Linked DNA regions of Nothobranchius furzeri. The protein of the gene in region 2 binds, or shares a complex with, the protein of the main gene of each other region. Links are inferred from orthologs where the notes say so. Each region holds a gene or a part of one and is shown on either strand. Other genes may lie near its edges.

Region 1 (8,167 bases), about 35 Mb from region 2:
TAAAAACAAATTTTGCCTTATGGGGCATAATTTTTTCAGGACAGTCTGGACTATCTGAATTTATACTAATTTTATTGATTTGGCAATAATGTACATGCATTTTGGAGTGGGGAGTGGCTCTGTCTCACGCCGCGGAGATCGAGATCTGACAGCTGCGCGGCGCCGCCCACTCGTCTCGTTGGATCTCCGAGGAGCTGGATCTCTGCCGTCATCCTCTACCTCATCATGACCCAACTCTTCTATGAGGAAGGATGGATCCGCCACATCGTCATCAACATCCTCGCTATTTGCCTCAAACTCCGGCTGTGAGTCTCCGCCCACTTCCTCTGCTTCCAGTTCCAAAAACAGCCGTACTATCTGACCTGCCTGGTGGACATTTATCCTTCTCATCATCCTTTATTAAAGCCTAATAAAAGCCCACTAAACTGCAGAGACGATATATCTGTCCGGATCGCTCCAAAATATGAAGTTTACCGTCAATATCTGTCTAATTGTTTGTTGTTACTCCGTTGGCGCCACTCCTTTCCCCGCCAAGCGGCTCCTTTTGGCGCACACCTCGTTACTCGTGCAGCCTTCCTCTCTCTCTCAGCTACATAATGATGCTTTTTATCAGCTGAATATGTGAGACTTCCACCAACAGCAACAGGATCTCATGTTTTTATGTTCACAAGCACGTTCCCTCTCACGGATCATTAAACTGCTGTTTTGACAAGTTATCAGATTGTCTAAAAATAGGTCGTTTTTTTAGTTTAGCATAACTCCGCTTTTACGTTGCCTATTAACAACATTTAAAAACTGGGGTGTAGTTTAAAATCTCCTTTTTAAAGCTGAATTGAAACCGAAACTCAGGGAGGCGGAGTCTTGCTGCTACAGCGTCCCAAATCAGACCTGTTAAAGACGCGGATGCGCGTCCACGGACCCCCGAGGGTTAAACAGCTCCTGTCACATTCCAACACGATGACACATTTGCCATCGAACCACAGCCGCGGCTCAGACTCCTACAGCCTAGTCTATATGTTTACATCAGCTCTGTGATGGAGACGAAGCGCCGCTGATGCAATAGCCTGAAAAGAGGGTGACGGAGACACGCCCACATTTTTTACTTTCTTTTGAAAACAACAGAAACCGCAAGTCTGCGAATGATCAGGATGCCACTTCCTTTAAATCTGTCAACAGCAGAGCCATCAACGGGGAACTGCTTGGCAACAGTCCAGGCGATGGAGAGGTCTGAAAGGTGAACGTCTCCGCTGATGCGTGTGCACGACTACACACCCGAGCGTTTTCTGTCTGTATTCTATCAGAAGCTAAAGCAGGAAATAGGTGTAAGAGACTATTTTCTTCTTCAGCCTGCATCCTAAACTCTCAGTGACTTACTTTCAAAAAGAAGTAAACAAACAAATAAAATAAAAGTTTCTCAGAGGAGCTGGCCTTTAAAGAATGTGAACGTATTTTACCAAAATGATCTTGGTCTCATCCAGCTCTGCCTGCACTTTGGTCATTGCATCAGCTTCTCTGGGATTCTGAGGGGGAAACAGATGATCAGCTGTAAGAATCTGTTTGACGAGATTCATAAAAAGCCACAAATATGATAAAATACACGATGGTGTGTGACGCCGTTTAACTAACCTGGTACTTAGAAAGGTGAATGTCCAGAGCTTTGTAGTGGACGGTGTCAGGACTCCCGGATGGCCAGTCTACACTGTCCACTTGCCTGGAGAACTCATCTAATACCTGAGAGACAGAGCAGTCTAAAAGCTGCTGTTCAGAGCAAAGCGCTGCAGCAGCACGCTAAACGTTTTACTCACCTTTTCAAGCAGCGTGAAGCAGACCCTCTGTGGATATTCAGTGTCTGCGATCACCACACCACCCAAGTTGTCGTTTCTCACGTACACATGGCACAGGTACTCTGCAGAAGTGGAAATAAGTCAAATCTCGGGTTGTCACGGTAACCGGTGTAGCGGTAAACCCCGGTAAAAGAAGTTGACAGTAATAATAACTGTTACGGTTGCCAGTGTGGCCAGTGGAGAGAAGCAGCCCGACACCGCCCCTCCTCCTCGTCTCTCCCGGGCTGCTGAGGAGCACAGCTGCGAGGAATCTACCTGATGAGCAAACACCTGGATAAAAGGGCTGTGCCCTCAGCAGTGCAGGGGTTCTGCTGTCCTCCCGGTTTTGTTTGTTTTCAACCCCTTTCGTTTGGACGAGTTTTAAACTTTGGCAGTTTTGAACTCTTGGTGATAAGTTTTTCTGGACGATCCAGTGGGATCTTTTTGGCTGTTTGGTTTTAAGGTTAACTTGGTTTGTGCAATTTTACTGACCTCGGTTTTTAAACACCTTCGTGTGGTGAAGCTTTTAATATAAGTTTTAACCCGGTGTTTTATAGCTGATAATTTGCTGTGTAATGTTAACCTTTTAGAGAGATCTGTTTGCTTTTTTTTTAATACCTTTTTGTTACCATTAAACCCATTTTAAACTCCTCCGCCAGTTCTTATGTTACCCCCATCCTTCACATTCTTACAACACCCGTCGGGGACGTAACAATAACCGTCTTGTTTAAAAACTATATTATCTCGGTGGATCACCGTGGCTGCGGTGTAGGCGTGGTGACCCTTACCAGCCACCGTATCATCTGCTGAAGTTGCCGGCGGCACATGCGCACTTTGTTGTTTACAACCAAAACTTTCTTGAAGCTAAAGCTGAAATAATGGCCAAAGGAGGAGACGGCAGCGCTCAGGAGGACATTTATTATCCCTCAAAGAAGACAAAGTGGGAAGTACGGCATTTTTTGGATATTTGAAGAATGCCGAGGGACAGCTGATAGAGGACGGCTATCCTGTTTGCAGCACGTGGGGAGCGGTGAGCTGCAGCAGTGGCTGTGCTCTGGAACTATTTGGTGGTCTAACCCCCCAATCCAACCCCTTAAAGCTGAGCGTCAATCATTGGGTCCCATTTTTAAAGACTTTGGCATGACCTGCCTGGGATCTGAACCTGATCTCCCAGTCCCAGGGTGGACACTCTACCACTAGGCCATGTAGAAAGTTTAACATCCAGTTACTGACACTCAGCCACGTTTAGATCAAACACTGCCTGTTCAAAAACAAGTCACAAGCCGGATTTAACAGAGCAAACAAATAAATAATAAATAAATAATATACAATATATAAATGTATATAACAATGTCAACTGTGAAAGGCTGGTTCAGGGATCATGAGACATCATTTTATTCTGGACACCAGATTCCCAACCTGAAACCCACTGAGGATCTTTGGGACTCAGAAATAAATAGTGATGTTTAGCAAAATAATGCAAAAGGGAATCTGTCACGATCAATACAGGATGGGCAGTTCGTGCTTTTTGATACAGCGAGGACTAAAGCTACTATTTTTAAGAATAATTATGAAATATTTATATAAGCCAACATTTTAAAATATATATATATATGTATATCTTAATGAAATACCAAGAAAAAAATAAGCTTTTTAAAATACTAATATTTAGTATTTTTATTTATTTTAAAAAGTCCACATTTTTGTTTCTCTTTAGTTATGGATAAACAAAGAAGCTTCATTTGCTACTTTGTGCGTTATGTCTTTATTCTCAACTTCAAACTGACAGAAAAAAGTGAGAAAACATGTAGAAAATAACCTCAACATCAATGTTTTTCTTAACATCTAAAAGATCCTTTACACTCTTGTTCTTACTCCTGAGAACCCAACATGGTTTTGTCGTCATGACCAGGTAGAAGATCAAATACAAGTCTTTAAAACGGACCACACCAGCCTTACCTTGTTCTTTGACGGAGGCACGGGTTCCTTGAGATGTTCGTTCAACAATCAGTGCACTGGTGAAGGTCATGAACTCTTGAACACTGAATTTACAAAATAAAACATCATCACTGATGGTAGTCTAATGAAAACAGTAAGCAAGTATGATATGTGATCCACGAGTTTAGGCGTTTGACAGAGTTTTAGTACCAAATACTTCAAACACCATTAACACCAACAAAGACTAGAGCGTTTAATCTATACGTAAATACTGGGAGGCACCTGGAGCGCTGGAAGAAGCTGAAGGATGACAGGTCATAGGCCGCTTTCAGGAGATTGGCTTTGGTCGACCCTTTATAGTGGACGCTGAGGCTGTAGAGCTTCATGATACCACCGGATCAGCTCAGGTCTGTAGAGCGGTCACAATCACGAGAGTATTACCTGTTAGCCAGCAGCTGGTTAGCGTCCCTGCTAAACTTGCTAGAAGCGAAACAGACTTAGCTTACGAGCGAAAGTACTGACAGCTAGCAGGCTGTTTGCTTGACTTAGCTTCTGGTAACTTGTTTTGTATGTTTTTGTTTATTTGTAAAGACGAACCCGTTTTAATTCAGCTTCATGAGTTAAATAAGCTAACCAGATATGCTACATTGTAGAAGAGGCCTGAGCCAAACTCACCGGAAGATTCAGCAGCGAAACACCCGATTTAAACCAGAACAACAAAAAAGATCAACAAGAGGCTCTACAGCGCGACTGCAAGAATTATCAGTGTTGTCTCAAAGGGAGAATTTGTACTTCAGTAATCAGTTTCCACGTCAGAACCAGTAGACGTTCCCATCTACATGAGCGTTTTGACGTCACTTCCGTGTTTGGGAAAACGGCTCCGCCTGCGTTAATAAAAGCGCGCCAGATCCTTTTGGAGGATTTTGAGGACTTGAAAACTATGAAGAGGGAAAAGAAAACTAAACTAAATATGGAATAATAGAATTTTTAAAGGCATTTGCTCATTACAGAGGATGCTCCACTTTATTATATTTTGTTCCAAATTAGGGAAAAGAACATTTTTGTTATTTTTTTCCTCTGAATATTTTTCAGGGTTACTAATAAATACTCTATTAATGTTAACAACAACAGCAATAATAATAATAATAATCTATAATATTAAATAATAATAATATTATTATCATTGATGTTCTCACTCCCTGTAAATATTCGGTTATTTTGTTTGCACAGGATTTTTTATGCAGTAATTTCATTTGAGTCCTTTAACTAATTTGTCCTAATGCTTCAAAAACTTTAAAATCTGCTATTGTCTGGTTGCTGCTTTCTGAAGAATGTCTAAGCTAATTGAGAAGTCGTAATAAAAATACAAGACGGTTTTTTAAAATCAATAATACTGTTTTCTTTTTCATCTACCAGTCATTTTGCCAAGCAAAAACATGGCGCCATCAACTGATCTCCTCTGTGGTAATGTTGGTCCATTTAACAATTTCCTCCTGGCCACTTAACTTACGGTAAGTAAGTGTTTTCCATGTCAGTAGTGTGCCTGTTGCTAATTTCCCAGGTAACATAAAATGGGAACTGCTAAGGCTTCAGATGCATCTGTTGGATCAGCTACACCACGGGAGGAAGGGAAACATCTTTCCTGGAATTAGCTCTAGTTTTGCTCACAGACAACCTTGTCCAGGAGGATTTCAGACTCTAATGGGAAGTTTGAATAATCTATCTTCATTTTTGTTCTTTTTTTTATTCCAAATCAGTGCTCTGGATTTTATTTTAACGTGTTTTTTGTCCTGGGACGAAACATTAAGAATGTTATGCAGAAAGTTAATAGTATAGCCTACACTTTTTGGGGGTCAACAAGGCAGTTTTTCAGAGTGAAGCTGTAGCTTTTTTTTTAAATCACTTTGAATCTTAAACATTTTTCTTCCAGATCGCTCTTTACACTCTGCCATAAAATATGCATAAGATTCCAAATTCTTCATTTTTGCACCAAATGACTTCTTGTACTGCAAGAATGAACAAAAGCCCGTAGATTATTTAAAGATTGGGTTTTTTTGGGGGAGGTGGTATTTTGATGATATCCTTTCAGAGTTTACCAGCCAGGTCTTAAAAAGCACTGTGGAGAACTTTCATCGAGCAATATGTAGATGACACATGGGGGAAAAAGGCCTGATAGGTCTGACGTCTCATTTGCAGAATCAATTATTTCTAACGTTGTGAATGGGCACAGAGAAAAAACATTCATAGAGGACAAACGGGGAACTCCAGACTCCATTAAAGTTCTGCTGCAGAGCACCGATGGTCAGCGGCGCGTCCAGGATTTAACCCTCACTGTGAAAGGATGGAAAAGGTAACAGTTCATCTCTCTCTGTGTGTTTGTGAGAGCTAGATTTAGACAGCAGAGGAAGCAATCTCATTTGAGCTAAGTGGCTGAAAAAGAGTCACAGATTTTCCTAGAAAGGTCTTATTTTATGAGGAAAATCTTACAGCAAATCTGCAAAAACAACAATTTTCCAGCTCACTTCCTTTACTGTAACAATATAGAGTTTGATATTTAATCCCATTTATTTAGTTTACTTATCCAAATGTAGTCATTAATAAATTAAATCAAAACTCCAACAGCAGTTCTAAACAAACCTGTTCCTGTTTTACTTATAAGACAATTATTTCCATCTGGTTGTGCTTAAATAAGCATCTCTACAAATACATTACTGCAAACAATGTCATTAGTCTTAAATATTATTCATTTAGTTGATATATTTTCTTTAAATACAAACTAGGGATTAGTATTGATCGCGTGTGTGAACTCTAACTTCTTTAAACAGAAACTCAGGTGTGAATGAAGTGAATAATATAAAATGTGTTGCGCTGATAGTTCTAAAACACACGTTTTGGAAATTTCCATGGATTTATAAACTTTTTGCATCATATGCAACTAAGTTTTGTGACTCAAAATTTCTACTAAAAGTAACATTTTTTTATTCTAAAAAATAACGTCCGTAATGTTTTTTGTTGCATTTCATAATTAATAAATTATTTTAAGCTACGTTTTAATTTTAGACATCTCACAAACCACACTTTCTGCAATTATTTTGAGCCATACCCCAGAATAAAAACTATTATTGTCATCTGCAAATAAAATAAAATATAATAGACTTTATTAACCCCACACCGACTAAAGCAGCACATCTGCTTAGAGAAAAAAGGAAGAAGAGAATAATAACGAGATTTCAGATAAACACACAAAGGTAATGAGCTATCAATGTTTATTTATGTTTATTTATTTATTTGTGTAACCTTCAACCACTAAAAACAATGAATGAAAAGGAAACTTGGGTTTCCAGAACTATGCAGCATAATGAACTCAGACATATTACGTCAGGTACTGCACAAGTATTGAACACATACTGAATACCACACTGATGTCATTGTGTACCAGGATAATGCCAGTACCAGTTAAACTGACAATTTACGCACTATTACTGCAGAGGGGATGAATGACCTACGGTAGTGTTCTGTTTTACATCTGGGATGTCTTAGTCTACCTCTGAAGGAGCTGTCCATGGTCCCCACAATGGAACACGGTGGGTAGGAGGGGTTTCCCAAGATGGAGGTCATCTTCCTTAGCATCCTCCTTCCACACATCATCCTCAGCTGAATCTAGTTGGCAGCCCAGAACAGAGCTAGCTTTATTTTACTAGCTTGTTCAGTCTCCTCCTGTCTCGGTCAGAGCTGCCTGCACCCCAACAGACCACGGCAGAATGAATAACAGAGCTGACAGCAGAGTGATAAAAGAATTTTAGCAGATGTGAATTAAATCTGATGGACCTCAGCCTCCTCAGGAATACAGAGCATCTGTGTTGTTGGACCAGTTCAGTTTACTGATGACGTGAACACTAATGGTATCCACCACCTCAACGTCTGCACCTGGATGTTTACCGGTGAGTGAGGAGGAGTGTTTCTCTGGAAGCCAATCACCATTTCCTTTGTTTTACTGGTGTTTAATTGAAGGTGGTTATGCTCACACCAGTCTACAAGGTCCATGATGACTGTCATGTGAATAGATACAGTGCGTATGCCTTTAAGACTTGCCTGAAGGGGGAGGAGTTTGGAGGGAGTTCGGCGGGCTGAGAAATAAACACAGCACCTCTCGAGCTGAAGGACGTTGAGTCATGTATTACGTTGGTCATACATAGAACATGGTGTCAGAAGTTAAGCGGTGAATATGGCCAAGTTTAACCCTCCCGACAACTTTGACTTCACCCGCCTGGAGCAGTGGCCGGAGTGGAGGCAGCGGTTCCAGCGTTGACGGCTAGCAACTAAGCTAAACCTCGAGGATGGAGCTGTGCAGGTTAGCACCCTACTCTACGCGCTTGGCAAGGAAGCGGAACAAGTGTTTAACACTC
Region 2 (7,424 bases):
ATTGCGCCGGTTGAAGTGAGCTGACGGGACGCCGGCGGGAGAACGTGTTTTTGGGGCGGGACCGCGTGAGGACTGGCGAAGTTGAGGGCGGGGCGGGTGGGCGACTGGCGCTGGGGGCTTGGAACCCGTTGATAACTGCTTGCAGTTCTAGTTACATTTTGTTTTTGTGAAGCGCCTCCTGATTTTTATCTTGAGAGGCGCTATAGAAATAATATCTTCTTCTTCTTCTTCTTCGTTGTTTCATGTATGCTCTGGTAACATTCTGCGCATTTGCTGCATACACCTCAGCTAAACTCTTAATTTCGAATGCAACTTCGGGCTGAGCAGAGCTTTGGATAGTAAGTGGCTAAAGAAGGTTTAAGGAATGCATTGAACTAGTGTGATTGAACTCCGCTATCATCAGTCTACCATACTCTGACAGAGCATCATCTATCCGGATGTGGCGGTTGATTGAACAGTTTCTCAAGGTAAGTTGCTACTTCTTCATCAAGGTCACTGTTGGAAAGTCCTTTTATGATTACCAAGTTAGGGATTTTAATAGATTCTTTAATTACCATGTCCATTTTAATGGATTTAATTTAATATAGTTCCTATCGTTGTAATGTTAGTGAGTCTCATTCAATTTCACAACATCTCCATGTTGTAACACCCTCCCTTCACTTTCTTTGTTATTTGAGTATCTTACAGGTTAGATACATTTAAAGTAAAAAAGCTTAGAAAAATCGGATTTGTGGACCAGAAGGTTTGGCAACTTCAGAAGATTGGAATGAATGAGACTCAGACAATAGTGATAAAGCTGAAAATGCTGGCTGGACATTTTTTATATAACTAATGGCCAATAAAAGAAATAAAATGTTTTAACAAACAGTTCTTTGTCTTTTTTATTTTGGTACCAGTTAGGGATGTGCAAGTACACAGCTATCTGTATCTGTATCTGTTCAACCATCTAAATTATCTGTATCTGTACTCGGAGTGGGTGTGGCCTAACTCGGAAGTGGGTGTGGTTTACATCAATACATTATTTTAAGTCTGAAATTGATATGGATTGATCAGAAGTTGCTATGTGTGTTTATTTGAAAACTATTTACAGAGCAGCCTCAGAACTTAGATTAAATATTTTTAATCACAATAGTAAAGGAACTATTACAGAATAAGTTTTTCAATGAAATCAGAACATTGATATTTAAGTTCATGAATTAATACACACAGAGAGAGAGAGAGAGAGAGAGAGAGAGAGAGAGAGAGTAAACCCGACCGGAGGCAGTGACCGATGCATGCACGAGCCGTTTTCAGCTGTCTTGTCAAATGCACCACGTACGTTACGAAAAAAGTAACTTTAAATATTAAGCCGAAAAAGAGGCGAGCTGAAGAAAACCTGGCCGCCTGGTGGTGGTGTTAACTCTGCTAACCTGAGCTACCCAATGCTGGACGATGCTGCCCCGTCCTTCCAATCAATCTGCTCGGAGCCTGCACCACCCCTTAGGGTTGCTCTCCAGAACGTACGTTCAATTGGAAATAAAACAGCCATTTTAAAGGATTATTTCGTCGATCACAAGCTAAACCTGTTCTGCATGACGGAGTCCTGGGTCGCGCCTGGTGAGTCGGCTGCTCTCTCAGAACTTTGTCCTTTGCAATGTTCAGTGCTCAACGTGCCTAGACTTTCCGGTCGTGGTGGGGGTCTACTAACTCTGTTTGATTCTACCCTCCACCTGAAACGACTCTCGGCCTCTGTGACTCCAAGTAGCTTTGAATTATCACTTTTTGAGCTGGATTTTAGCTCCCCAGTGCTGTTCTTACTTTGTTACCACCCACCAAAGTACAATTCTAACTTTTTAAATGAATTTTCTGACATCTTAGCAGAGTTTCTTCCGAAATATGATAGAGTGATTATCCTTGGCGATTTTAATATTCACATTTGTTGTCCTGCGAAGCCTTTCCGCTTGGTGATGCCGCTCGCGGATGGAACGCGCTTCACAACTTGCAGCGTAAGACACACACACACACACACACACACACACACACACACACACACACACACACACACACACACACACACACACACACACACACACACACACACACACACACACAAACGCTTGAAAGGCACTGCCTCACACACACTTCCCATGTTAACCATGATACTTATGTTACCTTCGAACCCATGTTACCAGCGTTAGCAGCGTATTCATGTTATGCGTGTATCTCTTTTACTCATTTTACTTATAAGTCAATGTTACCTGTGTATCCATGTCTCTGGGCTCTTGGGGAACTTGGTGAGTGTCAGCTTTCCAAGGTACAGATCCCTCTCTGGGCTAAGAGCACCACACTGCAGCAACTCTTTCCTGTAATACACACACATTACTCAGCTGTATGTAGCACTCATTTAAAGGGGCCATGTAATGAAGAATCCACTTTTCTGAGCTTTATACCATGTGATATTTTTATTTCCTAATGAATAATACCCACAAACCTATTGTTGACTGCATTCATGCATTTCCCTGTATCAGCTGCAAATTTAGCATTTTACTTTGAAAATTCTGAAAATGCCTGAATGAAAACTACTTGCATCATCAGGCATTTCACCTCCCTGTCTTTGTTTTAAAACATAGGTATTCTGTGGATATTCTGGCAAATTACTTCTGCACTGGGGATAAAACACCACTGTATAAACCATGCATCCTGTCTACATAGCTGCACTTATAGGTCAGCAAAGGAAATGTATGTTAGGCGACTATCGCTTTCTAACAGACTCCATGGTCCAGTGGTTGGACTGGCATGTTGTTTTGCACAGGTTCACCTCTCAGTCGTGGCAGTAACTTTATTCTTTAGTAGCTACACTTGCCAGTATAATTCTCAGCCTTTATTGGTAAACTAGTTAAAAAATAAGGACTAAGTGTATTTTTTTTTTACTTTCCTTGTATTTAGCCAGTGTGAGTCCATGTGAGGTGGACTCACACTGGCTATAAAATCAAACTTCATAGCTTAACGTAAACCAAATTCTTTTGCATCCAGAACTCAGCTCTCCTAGATACGGAAGTTCTGATAACATCACATTCACACATAGGTTCATACATCACATCTAGTTCCATCCATCACAGTAAAATGTTAGTTAATGTTTTAATTGTTGGTAAAATAAATTTTTACTTTTATAAACCTGACTGTTTTCTGAATCAAAACAAAGTGTGTACAATCCCCTGATAAAGCAAGATCCCTAGATCTTCTGATTAAACACCGTAAAGACCAAGCAGGGTTGATATTCTATATTTATATAGAGTATCACAGCTTATTGGTCATAAGTAGAGGTAATATGTATTGAGCTCTTAAAGCACTCAATTTACCAAACCCTACATATTGGCAGAAGTCAGCCAGACTTTATTAGAATTGTCCACTTCGTGTTGGTTCTGATCCATTAATTATTCCTTAAAAAACTATTATTTTCTGTCTGGGTGGAAAACGAGGGCAATCTCATTATTCGCCATCTGGGGACGCTGTCCCTACCTATTTCCCAAAACCCGGAGACTCCCGTCCCCCACCAGGGGCGCTACCCTCCCTTGCAGTCTATGTGTCTATAGCGAAGCTACAGTTTAAAACTGCAAGAGATTAACTGTGTGTTGATTTAAAGGTAAATACATTTGTGATCGAGTTTGTCACGTCCTTTGAGTGATTCTGCTACGTTTATTTGTGTGGTTTTGTCACCGTTGAAAAGCTTGTGTTACATGAGTCAGGAAATGCTGATCTCCACTTAGCATTAAGCTACCTCTGATTCCGATCTGATCAATCGTGAATCACTCAACATTTTCCGACGAGAATTCTGGACATTAATTCTGTGCTCGGAATTAACCAGGGATGCCTGAAGCAGAAATAAGTGCTTTATTGCCCGCTGCTTTGATTAGCTGAAGAAAGCTCATCTTAAGCCCATACCGGAAGAGCGTAGCGAGATATATATACCGCAAATTACACGCTATACTGACAAATTAGCACGAGAACCTGTGGGAGGAATACCGTGGTCGAAGGGCTGATTCCCGTGAGAATTACGCCAAGAGACACACCTCACAAAGACCTCCAAGCCTGTTAGCTTGGTGAGCTAAATATTAGCAAGCTAAACATTAGCAAGGCCTGACAACACCCGCGAGCTTGGTGAGCTAAATATTAGCAAGCTAAATATTAGCAAGGCCTGACAAGGCCGGCGAGCTTGGTGAGCTAAATATTAGCAAGCTAAACATTAGCAAGGCCTGACAATGCCCGCGAGCTTGGTGAGCTAAATATTAGCAAGCTAAACATTAGCAAGGCCTGACAATGCCTGCGAGCTTGGTGAGCTAAATATTAGCAAGCTAAATATTAGCAAGGCCTGATAAGGCCGGCGAGCTTGGTGAGCTAAATATTAGCAAGCTAAATATTAGCAAGGCCTGACAATGCCCGCGAGCTTGGTGAGCTAAATATTAGCAAGCTAAATATTAGCAAGGCCTGATAAGGCCGGCGAGCTTGGTGAGCTAAATATTAGCAAGCTAAATATTAGCAAGGCCTGACAACGCCCGCGAGCTTGGTGAGCTAAATATTAGCAAGCTAAATATTAGCAAGGCCTGACAACGCCCGCAAACACAAATCCAGGGGCACCGTCAACCGTTCGACGCGGCGTTTGTCCTCGTCATAACTCGCTATACTCTACAAAACAAGCTCTCCGCATGTTTTTAGTAGTTTTGGGCGTATTTTTGACTTTTATTGTGAGAAGACTGTCTCCACCAGGCCCGTCCACCATTTTGGACGGCATCACTGTGCATAACGGAGTGACGCTCACTACCCCTCCCGCACTGTTGCCTAGCGCTCTAAGGTGAGGTGCTCCATCTTGTGGCACCTCTCGTACATTACACTCTTTTTGTGTTTTCTGGTACATTACACTTAAATTAATGACAAAACAATGTCTGAGGAAGAGCTTGGTTTTTCCACTGTGGGGAAAGGAATCATCAATTCTGTTTTAATATGTATAGGTTCTGCAAACCTCAATGCTTGTGGCTACGACGAGTCCTTTGAGCATCTTACACCAGGTGACCTATTAAAGAAGCTGCAGGAGAATGCAGCTGCCTTACCCGGCGAGGGTGAGAGTCAAAACAACAACCCGCACGGAGAACCTGGGACGGTTTGCTGTTCTTCTAGCTCACCTCTGGGATAAGGAAGTTGAGTCACGTGGCTACACAAGGTGCGATGCGCACGCTTTCTGAGCAGAGGCATAGAGGTGGAGCCAGCGGCTCCGTCTCTGACGATGAGTCTAGCAGAAAGGAGCTGGATGAAGCTCTAAAAGAGAATGCAGTGTTGTTGGATAAGAAATCGAGAGCAGAAAGTCAAGTTGCTGTTTTGGAGGATGAGAAAAATGCTCTGAAGATTGATCTCTTCAAAATCAGGAATGACATACGTGAGCGGGATATTGAAATTGCTGATTTAAAATCACAGATTTCTGCGCTCACTGGAGAAAGAAGGGGGACCCCTTCAACCCTCCCGGTTCCACCTGCTCCTCCACCTGCCACTCCACCTGCCGTCGCGGCTGGTGTGGTTTTGCCAGCTCTCCAGCTGACTGAACCACACCCACCTCCTTCAGCACCACTGCCCCCATCTGGTGGTGTGGCTGAACTGGTTCCCCAGTCAGCTCCACCACACCCACTGGGGCCTCCAGCCCCACATTACCCACCTGCTGCTGCGGTGATGGTTCCAGCTCCCCAACCAGCTCAACAATACCTTCCTGCTGCTCAGCAACATTACCCACCAGCGGCTCAACATTATCCACCAGCTGCTGCGATGTTCGGGCCAGCTTTCCAGCCAGCCCAACCACATTCACCTGTGACCGTGGCTGACATCTATAGGATGTCTCGTGGTGTCAAGAGATTCAGTCCTCGACCAGGTAATTCATACCCAGTTGATACGTATCTTAGTGACCTTCGACACCATTTTCAGAGATCTCCTGGAGTGTATAGGCATTGGCGCATCACTACCCATGGGTTCAAAAGCTCCTACTGACATTTTGACGACAATGGAAATTACTTTCTCACTTAACTGATTACACTGGGGCAAAAAATATTTGGCAGCCACCGACTGTTGAAGTTGTTCCACTTAAAGATGACAGAGGTCTGTATTCTTCATCATAGGTAGACTTTTTAAAAAATCCAGGAAGTGATGATGTGTGATTTTAGATTCCCTTGTTTCCTCCACTTAATAGCTGTTCAAGAGCACTTGTTTGAACTATCTGTATAAAAGTCACCTGTCCATACATTCATACAGACCTGGCGCACTCACATCTGGGTCGGCATGAGCAGGTTTTGTTCACAGCCTTCTCGGGAATGCAGGAATCTCCTAGCACATGGGTGGGGCAAAAGAGAAGTCCGTGGTGTGCTCCTTAATTAGTAAACAACGGCGGCCATGAGACTCTGACTCTGAAATCGCTTCCTGCTCTCTCTCGGAGTGAGGATGCTGTGTGTCCTCATGCTGCCGTGGCTGGAGCAGCACTCCCAGAAGCAGTCAGAGGAGATGTTAACTCCAGAGTGATAATGAATCGTGCATTAAGGAAGCCCCTGCTGGATCATTCTAACGGCCAATCTGAGATGGGTATAAATTTCAGCTGACCAATCAGACAGTTCAGCCCAAAGCGGACTGCCACGATAGGAGGTCTGAAAAAAAAGGTTGGTTGGGCAGAAAAAAACACACAGGCTACCCAGATAATATACGCTACCAGGGTGGGTCCGTGCGACCCAGATGTGAAAGCACCAAAGACTTCAACCTTCACCATGACCAGATCGCTGTCTAAGGACAACAGGGACAAAATTGTACAAGACTGGGATGAACCCATCTACATTAGGCCAGCAGCTCAACATCTGGAGCAATTATTACAAGATCTCTGTCAGGCTCCCTCGACCATGCAAAACCTCATGTTGTGGGGTACAAATGTTCTTGAGGATGGTGAGGAAACAGCCCAGAACTACACAGGGGAAACTGTAACCTGGAGAGAGCTCAGACAACAGTGGCATACTTCATCGTCATAGATTAAAATCCCAAGAAGACTGATCCGTGTTAGGGAAAGACTGAATGGGGCCATGTATTGTAGGAGTTTGGGCAAAAACCTCCTTCCATCAGTGAGAGTATTGAAGATAAAACGTGGCAACAAAGGAGTGGCTACTCCCTCCAGTATCCACACCTCGACCCAACAGATCATCTGTGGAGGAAGTTGAAAGTCAGCATCTCCCAGCAACAGCCCCAAAACATCTGATCTAGGGAACATCTGCGTACAAGCACTGGCCAACGTACCAGCTACAGTGTGTGCCCAGCTGGTGAAGACCCACAGCTAAAGTTTGACCTCTGTTATTGTCAACCAAGGTAACGTTGCAAAGTGAAGTTAATGTTTGTAACTGACCAAACACTTATTTCTGCACCATTATACCATT
Region 3 (7,975 bases), on a different chromosome or scaffold from region 2:
CCTGCCATCAACAGAAACAAAGACGAAGCTGTCGCAGGGTGGATTCGGTCTTATTGATAAGATTTCTTTTGTTCTCGTTAGGCGTACTGTGTGACCGAACCCGGGGCGGGTTCTGATGTGGCCGGTATAAAGACCCGAGCTGTGAAGATGGGTGACGAGTATGTCGTTAACGGGCAGAAGATGTGGATTACTAACGGAGGGAAAGCTAACTGGTCTGTGTTTACTGCATTTTAGGCTTTTATTGCAGTTTTCTTTTTACATCTACTTATTTAATTATTATTTATCTCAGGTATTTCCTCCTCGCCCGAACCGAAGCTGATCCCAAATGTCCAGCTAGCAAAGCTTTCACTGGCTTCATTGTAGATGCAGACACTCCAGGAATTCAACCAGGAAGGAAGGTAGGATGGGATTCTTATTTTCTGTAAGGAAACATCACTTAGTTTGACACATTTAAGCCTTTCCATTAGCTCTCAGGTTCATTTCTTTAAATTTTCTCGCTAACAGAGGAATCTTATATTTGCTTTTGCCCCTGCAGGAGATGAACATGGGCCAGAGGTGCTCTGACACCAGAGGCATTACGTTTGAAGATGTCAGAATACCCAAGGAGAACGTCCTGATCACAGAGGGAGCTGGTTTCAAAATCGCCATGGGTGCCTTTGACAACACCAGACCACCAGTAGGTTCTCCAGCTGGAGCCAGCATCTATCAACCACACTTAATGAGTTTGTGTCCAAGTTGCTAATTGAAAACATGGAAAAAACTTTATTTGCCGATCTTTGATTTGTGGTTCACGTCCTCCAGTGGAATCCTCAGAGGTAACTGAAGTATGTTTTGGCTAATTACTGTACTTGATGCTGTGCAGGTAGCAGCAGGAGCAACAGGTCTGGCACAGAGAGCGCTGGATGAAGCCACTAACTACGCCCTGGAGAGGAAGACATTTGGCAAAGCGATTGCTGAGGTTTGTTTTTAATGAAATCCTTTAATAGAAATGCACCTGACAAGATGGGTAAACTGTTTGTGTCTGGCAGCATCAAGCCGTGTCGTTCCTGCTGGCTGAGATGGCCATGAAGGTGGAGCTGGCCCGGATGGCGTACCAGCGGTCCGCTTGGGAACGGGATCAGGGTCGCAGAAACACTTATTACGCCTCCATCGCCAAGGCCTTCGCTGGAGACATCGCCAATCAGGTGGCTTCTGATGCCGTTCAGATTTTTGGAGGCAACGGCTTCAACAGCGAGTACCCGGTGGAGAAGCTGATGAGGGATGCAAAGATCTACCAGGTGGGTGTTGCCTTTGCATGCAGGTGAAGCTGGAGGCTTTCATTTTAAATTGAATCTGTTCTTTTGTAGATCTATGAAGGCACAGCTCAAATCCAAAGGCTCATCATTGCCAGAGAACACCTAGGAAGATTCCAGAAATGAAATCAGCTGTTTGACTTTTCTTCTTCTGCATTTAAATATTGTACTTTGGATATAAATAAGCTCCTGTCAAACTAATCTGGCCTCAGGATGCAGCTCTAGATGTTGTTTGCCTTAAAACGGATTCATTCTGCTCTGCAGTATCAAACAAGTTCAGACCACGAAAAGGAAACATTTTTAAGACATAAATAATCGTGTTGTTTCCAGTTTAGCACATTTTGTACAAAAACATCTTTTGAATGTGAAGGAAAGAGAGTCTGTTCAGGTTGGAAATGATCATCAGCAGGATACAAATAAATGTGTTTAGAAGGAAATCTGTTTCTGAACTAAAACTGTTGCAGTTATTCTCGTTCACGAGTGTTTTGTTGATAAAGATGTTTTTTTTAATGAAAATCCGGTTGAAGGTCAAAGTTCAGACTTGGCTCACACCTTTGTGATTTTTGTTAACTTGTCTTCATGCCTGTAGTCATGCCTTAAACACACAACTGACTCTGGTCAAATGTGTAAAGTTGTATAAATTCATTTAACACTAGAATGTGTGGAAGTAATTCTGCATGCTGTCAGCCAGTTCCACTCAGCAGACATTATCAACATTATGGTAAACTTCTGCACACTTGCTCACTAATGTTGGATGTAATGCTGTATGATTTTTCTGAGCCGTCCACTTAATAAATTCATTCTGGATTATATGGTTTGGTTTTATGGATGTCGGTCATTCTTTTGGATGAGTGAACAAAGGAAATCCTAAATGTATTAATGAAAAAAAAAAACTGATCACCATTATATGTACTGATTGTAAACAAACATTTAACGCTTTAAATGTTAGTCATGTTACATTTTTACGTATTTGTAGCCGTTTTTAAATCTAGTTTCTGTTAAAACTTTACTGATGTATTTCCTGAAGAATAGGTGTTTTAAATATGATAGCTAATGGTATAATTTAAAGGAAGCTTTTTGATGAATAAGTAAAAGTTTATTTATATAGCGCCTTTCACAGATATAAATCACAACATGATAAAGATCAGAGCAAATACCTCTAACCAATAAAAACATCTGAAAAACAATAGCAGTGATAAACGTAGAAAATAAAATCATGAGTATAAACAAAGGGAAGGTGTGAACTCGAACAAAACCATCTTTTTGAAACATTTAGGGAGGTAACGCCTGGATGAAAAGGTGAGTTTTTAGATGATTTTTAAAGACCTCTACAGTGTTAGAGAGACGGAGATTTGAAGGTAGACTGTTCCAAAGTCTGGGGCCAATAGTCTGAAAGGCCCTGTCCCCTTTGGTTTACAGTCTGGTTCGAGGAACAGCCAGGAGGTTTTCAGATGTGGATCTAAGTTCCGAGAGGTGATGTGTGGGGATAAAAGCTCAGATAGGTAGCTTGGAGCCTGGTTGTTAAGAGCTCTATAGGTCAGGAGGACTAAAACTTTAAACTGTATTCTATATTCTACCGGGAGCCAGTGGAGGGACTGTAAAACTGGAGTGATGTGAGCTCGTCTGCTGGATTTGGTTAGGAGTCCAGCTGCTGCATTTTGGATGGCTTGAAGGCGTGAGAGGGAGGTTTTGCTGAGACCAGTAAAAAGAGCGTTACAGTAGTCTAAGCGTGATGACACAAAGGCATGGATGATTTTTTCCAGATCTGCAGTAGAAACCAGTTTACGGACTTTTGAAATGTTTCTCAGTTGAAAGAAACAAGAGCGGGAGATGGTTTTGACGTGAGTCTAAACTTAAAGCTGGATCAAAAATAACTCCTAGGTTTCTAATGTTGGCCTTGGCTGATGGGCAAAGTAAAAGTAAAGTAAAAGTAACTTTTCCAGTTTTTTCCCTAGAATAGTTACATATTTTTACTATACTATCACTAAAAGTACAAATACAAAACACTTAGTATTTTTGATTTCAAAACCGCACAATAAATAACTCAAATTGATATTTTGTTCTTGTAATACTTCAATCAAACCAGAAGGTGGCGGTAAAGTCTGAAACTATACGACATTTAAAACCGTAGAAGAAGAAGGCCGGAAGTAGCTTGACCATGCAAAATATGTCAGAATGGTAATCCGTCACTTGTTCTTCTGTGCTTTAGAGCATCGTTTTATAATTAAAGTGTGTGTAAATGTTATCTTGTCTTCTTTATTTAAATGCTGTGCCGAAGTGGATGCTACCCTTGTTAGCATTTAGCAGCTAGTCATAACAATGTGTCCTCCTGTATTCGTTTAACTACAGCGTAGTTGTGTCTTGTGACCGTTTCTGTTGTGTTTTTGTCAGAGTGCTCAACTAAAAGATGTCATCATTAAACCTGACGCTCCCAGCTGGCTGCTGCTGGACAAACATGCAGATTACATCGCTGCCTACGGGTCCAAGAAGGACGACTATGTGAGTGACGTTTTATTTACACTTAGTTTGTAGGATTTGTGTCGTCTCGTTTTTATCTGCCTCTGTCGATAAAACCTCGTTTCAGAAGTTTTAAACGTTTTATTTATTTATTTTGGGTTAAGATAAAAGATGCATTCAGGTGTTTTAAAAGGTAAGTTTTTTGTCCCAATTTTCCACAAAGTATATTAAAAAAGACAGAAAATGCTTTAAAGAAACCAAAGATGTACATTTTAAAAAATAATTATAAGACTAAAGAGACGGCCCTCACGTCTCATGAGCACCCACATCAGTGGGGATCTCCCCTGGACCCAAAACAGATTGCCAAGAAGGCAAAATTTTGAACTGCCCTCCACAACTCTCAGCAACTACAGCAGCCTGATCATCTGATTCACTGGTTAAGATTGTGTGCACAAATAAGAAATTTTACTTTGGTTTAACGGGTTTTTGCAACAGGAATTAAATAATGTTTTAAACCCAAAATCAAACTGTACCTGGTCTTTGGTGTTAATGAAATCTGACACCTCTGTGCTGCAGGAGTACACACTGTCAGAGTACCTGAGGATGAGCGGTATCTACTGGGGGCTGACGGTGATGGATCTGATGGGTCAGCTGCCCAGGATGAGCCGTCAGGAGATCATAGACTTCATCAAAGCCTGCCAACACGAGTGTGGAGGCGTCAGCGCCAGTATTGGACATGACCCACACCTGCTGTACACCCTCAGCGCCATCCAGGTGACACAAAGCCTCATTATAATAAATCACAAATGCTAAGGATGTGAGGAAAACTCAGATGAGCTAAACGATCACATGTGTTTTTCTTTAAGGTTTTTAGTTGACATCTTTTTATTTTTACACGTCTTTCTCAGATCTTGTGCTTGTATGACAGCCTGGATGCGATCGATGTTGACAAAGTGGTGGAATATGTGAAAGGGCTTCAGCAGGAGGATGGCTCTTTTGCAGGGGACAAATGGGGTGAGCGAGCTTTACTCTCTCTTTCATTTAGAGTAAAAATAAAAAGTCATTTTCACAAAGCAAAGCAGCTCTTTAGAGAAACCTGCACAACAAACTCTTAGATGTCTGAGAATAAGGAGCTGCATCTGGAATTGTGCACAAGCTTTAACTATAAGATTATTTAAAGATCTTTATCGTAACTGAAGTTTTCGTTCTTTTCAGGAGAAATAGACACACGCTTTTCTTTCTGTGCGGTTGCTACGCTAGCGTTACTGGTACGTACGGGTTTGTCTGAAAATAACCGTAATGCAGGCTGAACCAACAGTTCTGTGATAAAACTCACTCAGTTGCATCTTTTTTCCTGATGTCTGTGAACTTTTTAAAGGAGGTCGTGAGTTTGTTATTTAGTCAGATTAACCATACCTCTGAAGATTACTTTCTAGTCTTCATCTGTCCTTTCCCAGGGGAAAATGGACTCGATAAACGTAGACAAGGCGGTTGAGTTCGTCCTGTCCTGTATGAATTTTGATGGAGGTTTTGGCTGCAGACCTGGTTCAGAGTCTCACGCTGGTCAGGTGAGTTTTTGTCCCCAAACAACAATGTAAAAAAACCTAAAGGTTCAATTTATAATAGAATGAAAAATCTTCTGACATTAAACCCCCTGTTGCTTTTTTACGCTTTCATAAGATTTACTGCTGCACTGGTTTCCTGTCGCTCACTGGCCAGCTGCACCAGCTGAACGCCGACCTGTTGGGCTGGTGGCTCTGTGAGAGGCAGCTGCCATCTGGAGGCCTCAACGGGAGACCAGAGAAGGTCTGCCACCTCCTGATGATGTTTGGTTTTAGATTTGTTTGGAAAAATGACCAAAGAAACCCTTTTTTTAAGACTTGTCTTTAATCAAACCTCCATCTGACGCAGCTCCCAGATGTTTGCTACTCGTGGTGGGTTCTGGCATCGCTGAAGATCATCGGCCGGATCCACTGGATCGACAAAGCCAAGCTGCGGCGGTTTATTCTGGCCTGTCAGGACGAGGAGACGGGAGGTTTTGCAGACCGACCAGGAGACGTGGTGAGACGTGTTCTGAAAAGCAGAGCTCAGATTTTCCTCCAGTGTTCTGAATGTTCTGGTCTCTCCTCTGCAGGTGGATCCTTTCCACACTCTGTTCGGGATCGCCGGTCTCTCTCTCCTCGGCGACGAGCAGATCAAGGCAGTAAATCCGGTTCTGTGCATGCCGGAGGACGTCCTGCAGAGGGTCCACCTGCAGCCCGACCTCCTCAGCTAGCCCATCATCATCCTCACAAACACCGCTACCCTCACATAAACTCCCCTCAGCTGGAAGCAGGAAGTGGATCCGGACTCATCTCTGTTTCACTCTTCGGCCTTAATCCTTCCTCTGCTCACGTTTCTATCCAGCGTATCGTGTTTCAGCTGTTGAAGTTTAAACATAATTTAAAAACACATTCCTTACACTTAAATGCATCACTTCCATCAGCTGCAGCTAAGAATTAATATTATTGTTTATGTGGAACTTTGGATTCAGCCGGGAGGAAAAAGTGTTTTTGGCACCTTAAACTCTTAGCAGTTACGTAGCTGCTTTTTAATCATAAAAGGCGTTTTTATGAGCAGCAAGAGCGATGTGGAGGACACTAACGGTGTTTGCAGCAGACAGGCTTTCTGGGAAACCTAACTAAACAATATTCTACGTTTACAGCTTTATTCACTATTTATTAAACCTATTCACAGCTCTCTAAGGATTCTGGGAAATTTCTGTTAAACATTTGAGTCGTAAATTCTTCACTTTTATTGTCTTATTGTCAAACGTTTGTTTTGTTGTTGTGAACTGATCCGTGTCCGTTGGTACAGAGTAAATAAATCACACCAGTGTTCAAATTTCTAGTGTTTTTTTTTTCTGATTTAGAAGCCAAACATTGTTCCAGTTACAGATCTGATAACTTATGTTCACTAAGACAACTTGAGATCGGTTTAGAAATGAGCTTCACATCAATAGGAAACTTGTTTATGTTATGTTTTTCACTATTTTACTGCAGACACTCAGTAACGTTCTCATATTTGTATTCAGCGTTAAAAATCACAGTTTTAAGATATTCAACTTTACTATAATAAGTTTGATTGCAGAAGTTTCTGTTTTACACAAATAAAAAACTAATCAGTTTGGATGTTGAACTTTTTCTTAGGTACAGGTATTTTATGAAGCGGTGTTTGGCTCGTTAATAGTAAAAATGATCAAATATGTTCATCTAGAAGCTTTTAAACAAGCATTGATGGGTTTGTAATCTAAAGCTTAAAGAGCAAGTCACCCCCTACCAGATTCGTACTCAACTCCCACTTCCTGTTTGAAAAATGCAACAAATGCTGTTGCCCAGCAGACCGAGAGGGCGGAGCCGCTAACAAATACAGGGTACCTCTTAGCCAATAGCGATGGCAGATTTAAATTCAAATGCAGTGCAGAGTTTTTACCTGACAGTTTTAGGCAGAAAATTAAAATTTTAACAAGAAATGCACTAAAGTGTTAAACTATTGACTACACGTGTCTGCAGCACAATTAGACACGCATTTATATAGTTTATTCGAAAAAAAAAGTTGATTTGGGGGTGACTTGCTCTTAAAACATAATGTACATAAAAGCTTTTCAGTTATAAATGTTCTTTAAACTACTTTGATACCTCCGTTATTAAACTGTGTTTGATGTGGTTGCAGATTTAGTAAAACTAAATTACTTCTGTAACGTTTCTCCCTGAGGCTGCAGAGGCGGCTGTGGTTTACCTCCAGATGGCTGCTCCATCACCTGTGGTGTCCAACTCTGGTCCTCAAGGGCCACGCACCTGATTTTAATCAGTAGGTGATTAACAGGCTTATGCAGAGCCTGATGAGCAGCTGAACAGGTGATTCAACCATGTGACGAAGACCGTTGGAGCAGGGAAACAACTAAAACATTACAGGATACGGACCTAGAGTTGGACACCACTGGTAAAAGTCATCAAAATGGTCCACAGTTTTTAATGTTTGATGCGTTTTTCCACTCGGCGTGTCCAACATACACTATTTAAACGAAAAGGTCATTGATGAGCTTGTGAACCAGGGACCACATTAGATTTAGCAAAAATGATGCTGTTACTCTGTCCAGTTTGAGCAATTTTAGGGTTAATTGGGAAGCAAAGACCAGTAGAATAATTTCTATCAAAGAGATAATGTGATTTCTTTTTTCAGAGGCA

What was found. The genes of interacting proteins can lie anywhere in the genome.
Region 1: the proteins of ptar1 (region 2) and ykt6 are in contact, whole or in part, in a crystal structure (PDB 6J7F), measured with the Homo sapiens proteins. The link is inferred for Nothobranchius furzeri from reciprocal best matches to the Homo sapiens genes PTAR1 and YKT6. Residues at the interface, in NP_001093136.1 of Homo sapiens: Glu31, Gly33, Leu34, Ile35, Pro36, Val48, Val50, Glu51, Lys53, Leu54, Gly55, Ser58, Lys135, Tyr191, His225, Ser228, Met229, His230, Val231, Ser232, Asp233, Phe298, Asp301, Leu302, Ser305, Tyr306, His309; in NP_006546.1 of Homo sapiens: Met1, Ser29, Phe30, Phe31, Asn83, Glu84, Pro86, Gln131, Asn132, Pro133, Arg134, Gln180, Phe184, Arg189, Ser193.
Region 3: the proteins of ptar1 (region 2) and rabggtb are in contact, whole or in part, in a crystal structure (PDB 6O60), measured with the Homo sapiens proteins. The link is inferred for Nothobranchius furzeri from reciprocal best matches to the Homo sapiens genes PTAR1 and RABGGTB. Residues at the interface, in NP_001093136.1 of Homo sapiens: Val61, Lys62, Leu65, Pro66, His69, Leu73, Arg76, Leu97, Asn98, Asp100, Phe101, Thr102, Thr103, Asn106, Lys109, Glu110, Leu113, Ile141, Arg144, Trp145, Pro192, Ser193, Tyr195, Ser199, Ile202, Trp203, Gln206, Val231, Ser232, His234; in NP_004573.2 of Homo sapiens: Lys6, Asp36, Tyr37, Cys40, Met41, Glu43, Tyr44, Ile89, Gly90, His91, Asp92, Asp136, Trp138, Glu140, Phe177, Asp178, Gly182, Cys183, Arg184, Pro185, Gly186, Ser187, Glu188, Ser189, His190, Gln193, Trp217, Glu221, Arg222, Pro225.

What each region holds. Positions count from the first base shown.
Region 1 is NC_091757.1:56,088,912-56,097,078, forward strand, and holds the start of ykt6 (synaptobrevin homolog YKT6), read right to left. Parts: upstream 4,630-8,167; 5' UTR 4,437-4,629; intron 4,203-4,436; 5' UTR 4,148-4,202; coding exon 4,044-4,147; intron 3,866-4,043; coding exon 3,783-3,865; intron 1,907-3,782; coding exon 1,806-1,906; intron 1,732-1,805; coding exon 1,627-1,731; intron 1,521-1,626; coding exon 1,455-1,520; intron 1-1,454. UniProt on the Homo sapiens protein: Vesicular soluble NSF attachment protein receptor (v-SNARE) mediating vesicle docking and fusion to a specific acceptor cellular compartment. Functions in endoplasmic reticulum to Golgi transport; as part of a SNARE complex composed of GOSR1, GOSR2 and STX5.
Region 2 is NC_091757.1:21,246,723-21,254,146, forward strand, and holds part of ptar1 (protein prenyltransferase alpha subunit repeat-containing protein 1), read right to left. Parts: intron 2,343-7,424; coding exon 2,238-2,342; intron 1-2,237.
Region 3 is NC_091751.1:41,397,247-41,405,221, forward strand, and holds rabggtb (geranylgeranyl transferase type-2 subunit beta), read left to right. Parts: upstream 1-3,346; 5' UTR 3,347-3,467; coding exon 3,468-3,470; intron 3,471-3,683; coding exon 3,684-3,791; intron 3,792-4,325; coding exon 4,326-4,523; intron 4,524-4,657; coding exon 4,658-4,763; intron 4,764-4,964; coding exon 4,965-5,017; intron 5,018-5,206; coding exon 5,207-5,317; intron 5,318-5,429; coding exon 5,430-5,555; intron 5,556-5,660; coding exon 5,661-5,810; intron 5,811-5,883; coding exon 5,884-6,024; 3' UTR 6,025-6,632; downstream 6,633-7,975. Other genes in the region: acadm (medium-chain specific acyl-CoA dehydrogenase, mitochondrial), read left to right, coding at 82-212, 290-398, 536-676, 863-958, 1,029-1,277, 1,347-1,418. UniProt on the Homo sapiens protein: Catalyzes the transfer of a geranylgeranyl moiety from geranylgeranyl diphosphate to both cysteines of Rab proteins with the C-terminal sequence -XXCC, -XCXC and -CCXX, such as RAB1A, RAB3A, RAB5A and RAB7A.